2 linked regions of the Callithrix jacchus genome follow. The protein of the gene in region 1 binds, or shares a complex with, the protein of each later gene. Links are inferred from orthologs where the notes say so. Each region holds a gene or a part of one and is shown on either strand. Other genes may lie near its edges.

The links.
Region 2: the proteins of DENR (region 1) and MCTS1 are in contact, whole or in part, in a crystal structure (PDB 5ONS), measured with the Homo sapiens proteins. The link is inferred for Callithrix jacchus from reciprocal best matches to the Homo sapiens genes DENR and MCTS1. Residues at the interface, in NP_003668.2 of Homo sapiens: Ala25, Tyr27, Pro28, Leu29, Val31, Tyr33, Cys37, Ser38, Leu39, Pro40, Glu42, Tyr43, Glu45, Tyr46, Met47; in NP_054779.1 of Homo sapiens: Trp39, Gln42, Arg83, His86, Lys87, Tyr88, Pro89, Phe90, Lys99, Ile102, Lys103, Leu106, Ala136, Lys139, Gln140, His141, Ala142, Leu143, Leu170, Asn171, Trp175, Lys178.

Annotation. Positions count from the first base shown.
Region 1 is NC_133510.1:125,922,775-125,928,006, reverse strand, and holds the start of DENR (density-regulated protein), read right to left. Parts: upstream 3,607-5,232; 5' UTR 3,447-3,606; coding exon 3,354-3,446; intron 1-3,353. UniProt on the Homo sapiens protein: Translation regulator forming a complex with MCTS1 to promote translation reinitiation.
Region 2 is NC_133524.1:116,475,069-116,479,661, forward strand, and holds part of MCTS1 (malignant T-cell-amplified sequence 1), read left to right. Parts: intron 1-3,694; 5' UTR 3,695-3,733; coding exon 3,734-3,918; exon of another isoform or gene 3,919-4,593. UniProt on the Homo sapiens protein: Translation regulator forming a complex with DENR to promote translation reinitiation.

The DNA of each region.
Region 1 (5,232 bases):
TGAATGCTGTCTATGTATTTTTAATTGCCCACAGTCTCACACCGTAACGATAATTGTTATCACCTTCCGTGTTGCCAGCCTGGGTAACAAGCGCGAAACTCCGACTCAGAAAAAAAAAAAGATCTTTCCTTCTTTCACTAGGGTAGTGTTGACTCTCCTTTTATGTGTTCTAAGTTGGAGCCCATCTCGGGCTTTCTCAGGAGACTGAAGCCTGGTAGAGTTAACCACATACCGTGAGTCTTGTTTCATCTTGAGAAAATCTCTTCATATTCAGCCTGAGTCCCACTTGTGAAACGAGAATAACACTACAACACTTGCCAGGATGTGAGGGTTAGGGGAATGATGACCCAAAAAATGCTCTATAGATGTGGCAAATAATTGTTCTTTTCTATTTTGCTTAATTCTTCACTCACATCCATTTTATTTATTTCCCTCCTTCCCTGCCAACTTCATTCACCACTGTTGCTACTACCACTTTCATTTTCTGTTTACAACTTATCTGTGTGTGCACTAAACCATGTGGTACAATCTTCTCCACCAGAGATTCATGAATGTAGCCTCCTCCCGACATATTTCTTAAATAAAAGAGGAAATCCGCCCTCGCAGGAGAGTCAACACTACCCTAGTGAAAGAAGGAAAGATCTTTTTTTTTTTTTCTGAGTCGGAGTTTCGCGCTTGTTACCCAGGCTGGAGTGCAATGGCACGATCTCGGCTCACTGCAACCTCCGCCTCCTGGGTTCAGGCAATTCTCCTGCCTCAGCCTCCTGAGTAGCTGGGATTACACGCATGCGCCACCGTGCCCAGCTAATTTTTTGTATTTTTAGTAGAGACGGGGTTTCACCTTGTTGACCAGGATGGTCTCGATCTCTTGACCTCGTGATCCACCCACCTCCGCCTCCCAAAGTGGGATTACAGGCTTGAGCCACCGCGCCCGGCCAGAAGAAAAGATCTTGTTTCCACCAAAGAATGTTTGATTATAATAATAGGAGCTGGGCCGGGCACGGTGGCTCACACCAGTAATCCCAGCACTTTGGGAGGCCAAGGCGGGTGGATCCCGAGGTCAACAGATCGAGACCATCCTGGTCAACATGGTGAAACCCCGTTTCTACTAAAAATAGAAAAAATTAGCTGGGCACGGTGGCACGTGCCTGTGATCCCAGCTACTCAGGAGGCTGAGGTAGGAGAATTGCCTGAACCCAGGAGGCGGAGGTTGTGGTGAGCCGAGATCGCGCCATTGCACTCCAGCCTGGGTAACAAGAGCGAAACTCCATCTCAAAAAAATAAATAAATAAAAATAAAATAAAAAATAATAGTAGCTTGCATGTATTGACACCCACTCCCCACTATATGCCAGAAACCGTGCTCATTTGGGGGAAAGGAGTCCAGCTAAATTCATCTCCCAGAATTTTCTTAGGTTCCTACTATGTACCAGGCACTGTGCTAGGCACCAGGAATACTACAGTGAACCGAAGAGATAAAGTTCCTATTCTCACTAAGGTTAACAATCTTAGACATATTAACTGACTTAATCCTTACAAAACCCCTGTGAAGGGCCAGGTGCAGCGGCTCATGTCTGTATTCCCAGCACCTTGGGAGGCAAGGTGGGATTGTATCAGTCCAGAAGTCTGAGACCAGCCTGGGCAACATAGGGAGAACCTAACTCTACAGAAACAGAAAACAAAGGAAGGGGGAGGGAGGGAGGGAAAAGAGAGAGAAAGAAAAGAAAGGGAAGAAAGAAAGAGAAATACCAAGTGTGGTGGTGCACACCCGTGGACCAAGCTACTCAGGAGGCTGAGGTGGAAGGATCACTTGAGCCCAGGAGGTCAAGGCTACAATGAGCTACGATGGTGCCACTGCACTCCAGCCTGGACAACAGAATGAGACCTTGTCTCAGAAAGAAACAAAAACAAAATAAAAACCCTGTGAAGTAGGCATAACTGTCCTAATTTCCAGATGTTGAAATCAAGAATCAAAGGGGGACATGAATTAGGTTCACATGTGCTTAAGATCACACAGCAAATAGTTTTATTGACCTTAAGGTGCATATTTTTCACATTTCAATATCTCTCTCTCTGTAAGGCCAGCCTTGCTAAGAGCCGGATGAACAACACCCACCCCTCTCTATGCCTGCTAACAGTTTATCAGGCAGAACACATTACTCAGCATCTGGCTCCTCCATGCGGGCTCCCCTCGCCCACTTCTGCATTCTGCCCCCAGGTCTATATTCAGCACTAGACGATGCACTCTCAGCACGAAGCCATGCATTTGAACCTCAGCACTAAACTATACAGCTGAACCCGCGAAAATTGAAGAAATCCCGCTGAGCCTTACTCAGTGGCAGCCCACCCCATGCATCCGAGGCGTGACTTCTCTGGCCCCTTTCCCCGGGACCACAGAACCTCTTCCGGGAGATAAATAAATTGGCATCTAATTGTTCTTATACTGGCCTCAGTTTCCTCATTTTAAACTCGGCAGTAACCATTGCATTCTCTCTCTCTCTCTCTCTCTTTTTTTTTTTTAATTGAGGTGGGGTTTCGCTCTTGTCGCCCAGGATGGAGTACAATGGCACACTTTCGGCTCACCCCAAACTCCACCTCTGGAGTTCAAGTGATTCTCCTGCCTCAACCTCCCGTGAAGCTGGGATTAAAGGCATGCACCACTACACCTGGCTAATTTTGAATTTTTAGTAGAGACTGGGTTTCTCCATGTTGGTCAGGCTGGTCTCAGACTCCTGACCTCAGGTGATCCATCCGCCTGGGTGTCCCAAAGTGCTGGGATTGCAGGCATGAGCCACTGTGCCCAGCCATCAACATCTCATTGCTGTTGCATTGCAATGAATGGAATCTTAGCATGGTGTCCTCTTTTAGTTGGCAGCAATTCTCTTTCTTAATAATGCTCAAATTAAGGCCAGGCGTGGTGGCTCACGCCTACAATCCCAGCACTTTGGGAAGCCGAGGCAGATGGATCACGAGGTCAAGAGATCGAGACCATCCTGGTCAACAAGGTGAAATTCCGTCTCTACTAAAAATACAAAAATTAGCTGGGCATGGTGGTGCGTGCCTGTAGTCCCAGCTACTCGGGAGGCTGAGGCAGGAGAATTGCTTGAACCTAGAAGGCGGAGGTTGTGGTGAGCCGAGATCGCGCCATTGCACTCCAGCCTGGGTAACAACAGTGAAACTCCGTCTCAAAAATAATAATAATAGTAATGCACAAATTATGGAGCATCTAACTAACAATGGCATCTTGGATGTGATGAAATATGGACAGGTGACCAGTTTTGCGTAATAGACCAGTGTCTTCAGTTTCACTCTTCAAGCTTTTCCTGCCCTACTTTGTATGGAAAGGTTGCTTACCTCTGCAGACTGCTGCTTCAAGCTTCCTTGTTCCGTGCTTCTAGCTATGATCAGCCAATGGGAGACAGCCATGCCAGCCGGCCTCCTTGCCATCTACCCCTCCTCACCCCTCGAGCTGCATTTCTGGCAGTAACTGGGTCTCCCTCTGAATTGTTAGAGTATCACAGTCCCTGGACTCCTAAAACATAGCACATTCTCGGGATCTAGTCTCCAGCCTAGGGGCGGTGATGGCTTCCTGCTGTTGCTAATCTCTGTGTTGTCTCACCACCTGTTTAGCTTTTCAACAGTTCCATTCTTGTGTAACCAATTCCCTGCCTTAAATTCTTTGTTTTGCATACTGGGATGGGGTTCTGTTTTCTGGGTGGACTCTACCTGACACAAGTGGCATTTAAACCCAGATTTGCATTTCCTATCACACTCCACAGTCTTTCAGCTCTCAGGAACTAAAAGGAGGAATGATGTATGAAAAAGGAAACATCCCAGTGGTCACAGACTCTTGGGAGAGGCAGTGGAATTACTGCAAAGGATACAGGGATCTACTTGTGCACCAAGTAGATTGATTAAATATCCTTCAGATGTCTTATTATTTTCTAGTGTAAGTTACAGTTTTAGTGCAATGAAAATCCAAGTTGAATCTGATTAGTCTGGCTCGAGTTATATCCATTCTTAAATTAACCATCCTGACTAATCAAGCCCTGAGTCAAGTGTCCGTCCTTGGACCTGAGTTTGGAGACTGGTGATAGGATATGTGCCAGAAGAAAATTGAGATACTATTACCAGAAAAGAGAGTGATGCTAAGATATCAAAAACAGCAGATGTGCACACAGGAAGACTCATAATCACATATGCTAAAAATTATTACATAATCTAGCACCTTTAACACATCAAGTGGGTGTGTAGGTGAGGCCAATTTTCTTACTAACAGAATTCCATTTTACTTGACACAGTGTGTCCAGCTGAAGATGTTGAATTTCCCAGCTTCCCTTGCAACAAAAGGGCACAGTCTTGTCGAGGAGCCATAGGTAGAAGTTCCTGAGAAGGGCATCCCTTTCATCAGGAAGCACTGTGAAAGATTTTGAAATGGGCAAAAAAGGGTACTGGCTGTCCTAACACATCCCTTAGTGCCATCTCCATCTTTCACTGTCTTTTAGCTATTTTACCAATTTTTTTTTTTCTGAGATGGAGTCTTGCTTGCTCTGTTGCCCAGGCTGGAGTGCAGTGGCACCATCTCGATTCACTGCAACCTCCACCACCTCTTGGGTTCAAGCAATTCTTCTGCCTCAGCCTATTGAGTAGCTGGGATCACAGTCATGCACCACCACACCTGGCTAATTTTTGTATTTTTAGTTAGTAGAGATGGAGTTTTATTGTGTTGGCCAGACTAGTATCAAACTCCTGACTCAGGTGATCTGCCTGCCTCAGCCTCCCAAAACATTGGGATTATAGGTGAGAGCAACCATATCTGGCCCTATTTTACAATTTTAAAAGTTGTAGAAAACTGATAGTAATGCAAACAGTTCTTGTTCATAGAAATGCAAATGATTGCATCTAGAGGAGCTGCAATTAATTCTCTGTTGATATTGACTAGTTTCCCAGCTATTTGGAAATCCACCGCTGCATTCCTGATTGCTTATGTATGCATGTATATCAATACGATTCTCTATGTGTGCAGACTTTTTCTTTTTGAGACGGAGTTTTCCTCTTGTTGCCCAGTGCAATGGCGCGATCTCGGCTTACTGCAACCTCCGCCTCCCGGGTTTAAGTAATTCTCCTGCCTCAGCCTCCCGGGTAGCTGGGATTACAGGCATGTGCCACCACACCTGGCTAATTTTGTATTTTTAGTAGAGACAGGGTTTCTCCATGTTGGTCAGGCTGGTCT
Region 2 (4,593 bases), on another chromosome or scaffold:
TCCTGGCTAGAGCAATCAGACAAGAGAAAGATACAAAGGGCATCCAATTTGGAAAGGAAACAGTTAAATTACCATCGTTTGCTGATGATATGATCTTATATTTAGAATAAACTAGACTCGAAGAGAAAACTATTAGACCTGATAAAGTTATTAGAATTGTAGGATACAAAATTAACATACAAAAATTAGTGGCATTTCTATATACCAACGGTGAACAATCTGAAAAAGAAATTTAAAAAATAATCCCATTTACAAGAGCTACATATAAAATTAAATACCTAGGAATTAACCAAAAGAAGTGAAATGTCTCTATAATGAAAAGTAAAATACACTGGCCAGGCGCAGTGGCTCATACCTGTAATCCCAGCACCTTGGGAGTCTGAGGCAGGCAGATCACAAGGTCAGGAGTTTGAGACCAGCCTGGCCAACGTGGTAAAACCCCATCTCTACTAAAAATACAAAGAAATTAGCCAGGTGTGGTGGCACACACCTGTAAGTAATCTTAGCTACTCAGGAAGCTGAGGCAGGAGAATTGCTTGAACCTGGAAGACGGAGGTGGCAGTGAGCTGAGATCATGCCACTGCACTCCAGCCTTGGTGACAAAGTGAGATTCCATCTCAAAAAAAAAAAAAAAAGAAAAGAAAAGTAAAATACACTGAAGAAATTGAAGAGGACACCAAAAAAATGGAAAAAGATTCCATGTTCATGGATTGGAAGAATCAATATTTTAAAAAAATGTTTTTTTTAAAGACAGGGTTTCACCATGTTGGTCAGTCTGGTCTCAAACTCCCGACCTCAGGTGATCCACTCACCTCAGCCTCCCAAAGTGCTGGGATTACAGGCATGGGCCACCACGCCTGGCCTAATACTGTTTTTTTATTTTTATTTTTTTAACTTTTTTTTTTTTTGAGACAGACTTTCTGTTACCCAGGCTGGAGTGCAGTGGCACAATCTGAGCTCACTGCAACCTCCGCCTCCTGGATTCAAGTGATTCACCTGCCTCAGCCTCTTGAGTAGCTAGGATTACAGGTGTGCACCACCAGGCCCTGCTAATTTTTGTATATTTAGTAGAGAAGGGGTTTCACCATGTTGGTCAGGCTGGTCTCGAACTCCTGACCTCGTGATCCACCTGCCTTGGCCTCCCGAAATGCTGGGATTACAGGCATGAGCCACCACGCCCAGCAGAAGAATCAATATTGTTAAAATGTCCATACTACCCAAAGCAATTAGCAGATTCAATGCAATCTCTATTAAAATACCAATGACATTCTTCACAGAAACAGAAAAGGCCATCCTAAAATTTATATGTAACCACGAAAGACCCAGAATAGCCAGAGTTAATCCTAAGCCAAAAGAACAAAACTTGAGGAATCACATTACCCGACTTCAGATTATACTCCATAGTTATAGTAATGAAAACAACACGGTACTGGCATAAAAACAGACACAGACCAATGGAAGAGAATAGAGAACCCAGAAATAAATTCACACACCTATAGCAAACTCATTTTTTGACAAAGTTGCCAAGAACACATAGTGGGGAAATATAGTATCTTCAATAAATGGTGCTGGGAAAACTTCATATCCATATGCAAAAGAATGAAACCAAACCCCTATCTCTTGATGTATAAAAAAGTCAATTTAAAATGGATTAGGGCCAGGCGTGGTGGCTCACACCTGTAATCTCAGCACTTTGGGAGGCCAAGGTGGGCGGATCACTAGAGGTCAGAAATTCGAGACCAGCCTGACCAACATGGTGAAATCCCATCTTTAAAAAGAAAAAAGAAAAAGAATAAATAAATAAATAAAATGGATTAAAGATTTAAATCGAAGACCTCAAACTGTGAAACTACTGCAAGAAAACATTGAGGAAAACTTCCATGACATTGGTCTGGGCAATGACTTCTTGAGCAATATCCAACAAGTACAGACAACCAAAGCAAACATGGGCAAACTTGATTGCATAAAGTTAAAAAGCTTCTGCACAGCAAAGGATACAATCACCGAAGGGAAGAGACAACCCACGGAATGGGAGAAAATATTTGCAAACTACCCCTCTGACCAGGGAATAATAATCAGAATATATACATAAGGAGTTCAAACAACTCTATAGGCAAAAATATAATAATATGATCAAGAAATTGACAAAATATTTGAATAGACATTTCTCAAAAGAAGACACGAATGGCAAATAGGCATATGAAAAGGTACTTAGCATCACTGATCATCAGAGAAATTCAAATTAAAACTACAAGATATCATCTCACCCCAGTTAAAATGACTTATATCCAAAAGACAGGCAATAACAAATGTTGGTGAGGATGTGGACAAAAGGGAATACTTGTACACTGTTGGTGAGAAAGTAAATTAGTATAACCACTATGGAGCACAGTTTCGAGGTTCCTCAGAAAACTAAAATTGAGCTACCATATGATCCAGCAATCCTACTGCTGGGTATATACCCAAAAGAAAGGAAATGAGTTTATCAGAGAGATATCTGCACACCTACGTTTCTTGCAGCAGCGTTTACAACAGCTAAGATTTGGAAGTAACCTAAGTATCCATCAACAGATGTTTGAATAAAGAAACTGTGGTACATATACACAATGGAGTACTATTTGGCCAAAAAAAAAAAAAAATGAGATCCTGTCATTTGCAATAATATGGATGGAACTGGAGATCACTATGTTAAGTGAAATAACGCAGGCCCTGAAAGAGTAACATCACATGTCCTTACTTATTTGTGGGATATAAATATCAGAACAATTGAACTCATGGACACAGAGAATAGAAGGTTACCAGATGCTGGGAAGGATAGTGGGGGATTGGGTAGTAGAAGTGGGGTTGGGTAATGGGTACAAAAAAATAGAATGAGTAAGATCTTCTAGGGCTGGGCGCAGTGGCTCAAGCCTGTAATCCCAGCACTTTGGGAGGCCGAGGAGGGTGGATCACTAGGTCAAGAGATCGAGACCATCCTGGTCAACATGGTGAAACCCCGTCTCTACTAAAAATACAAAAAATTAGCCGGGCGTGGTGGCGCGTGCCTGTAATCCCAGCTACTCAGGAGGCCGAGGCAGAATTGCCTGAACCCAGGAGGCATAGGTTTCTGTGAGCCGAGATCGCGCCATTGCACTCCAGCCTGGGTAACAAGAGTGAAACTCTGTCTCAAAAAAAAAAGAGATCTTCTATTTGACAGTGCAATAGGGCAATAGGGTGACTTTTATGGTTTGGATTTTTTTCCCACCCAAATCTCATCTTGAATTGTAATCCCCATAATCCCCACATATCTGGGGAGAGACTTGGTGGGAGGTGATTGGATGGTGGAAGTGGTTTTCCGTATGCTGTTCTTATGATAGTGAGTGAGTGCTTACGAGATCGGGTAGTTTTATAAGGGGTTCTTCCCACCAGCCCTGTGGTGGTGCATGCCTGTACTCGGGAGGCCGAGGCTGGAGGGTCACTTGAGACTGGGAAGTTGTGGCTACAATGAAACATGATCATGCCACTGCACTCCAGGTTGGGTCGAGTAGTAAGATGCTGTGTCTAAAACCAAAAACAAAGTAAAATCCTTGACTGGCAAAATATTCTCTATCAGCTTTCTTTTTAAAAAATTACATAAGTAAAACATGTATCTTTAGTTATTTATCTCTTTAATCAGATTACCTTCTGTAATAATTCTTTGGGAATTATTCTACAGGAGGGCAGTCATTGACGCCTGTAACCCCAGCACTTTGGGATGCCAAGTCAGGAGGATTGCTTGAGCCCAGGAGTTTGCAACCAGCCTGGTCAACGTAGACCCTGTCTCTACCAAAAAATAAAAATAAAAAACAAAAAACGGGCATGGTGGCGTGTGCCTGTAGTCCACGGTATTTGGGAGGCTGAAGTGGAAGGATCCCTTGAGCCCAGGAAGTCAAGACTGCAGTAAGCCAAGACAGCACCACTGCATTCAAGCCTGGGCAGCAGAGTGAGGCCCTGTCTCAATAAAAACCCACAAAAAACTATGGGGGCATCGTATGGTTGCCAGTGAATAAGGGTTACCAGATAAAAAACAGGACGCGCAATTAAATTCAGCTAAACGAGGACTGTATATTTTTAGTGTAAGTATGTCCAAAATATTGTTGAGGTATACTTACACTAAAACAAGTATTCATTGTTTACCTGAAATTCAAATTAAGTAGGCATCCTATATTTTCATTTGTCAAACCTGGCAATCCTACCAGCACTTTAACATGAAGCTATGAGGTTTGTCTGGATTCATGCTGGTAGGTAAGCACCAATCCATTCAGTTGCCTCAGACGGAACAAAAGCCATTCTCCCTAAAAAAAGAATCTTTTAGTGTGACGGTAGGTAGCAACGAAGCACGGAAGAAACTTGACCCTTTGAGGAACCCGTAACAGACGCAAGTGCCTTAAATGCTACTTTGATTGATTTCCCCGCCCCCTCCATTCTTCTTTTCCTGCAATTGTTCTATCACTTCTTCCCTCTCAAGTCCCGCCCTTTCAGCTACCTCCAACTGCAGAGGAACCGGTTGCTTAAAAGGAGCCGGCAAAAGCGCCTACGTGGAGGCCAGAGGAGCGGAAGTAGTCAGATTTGACT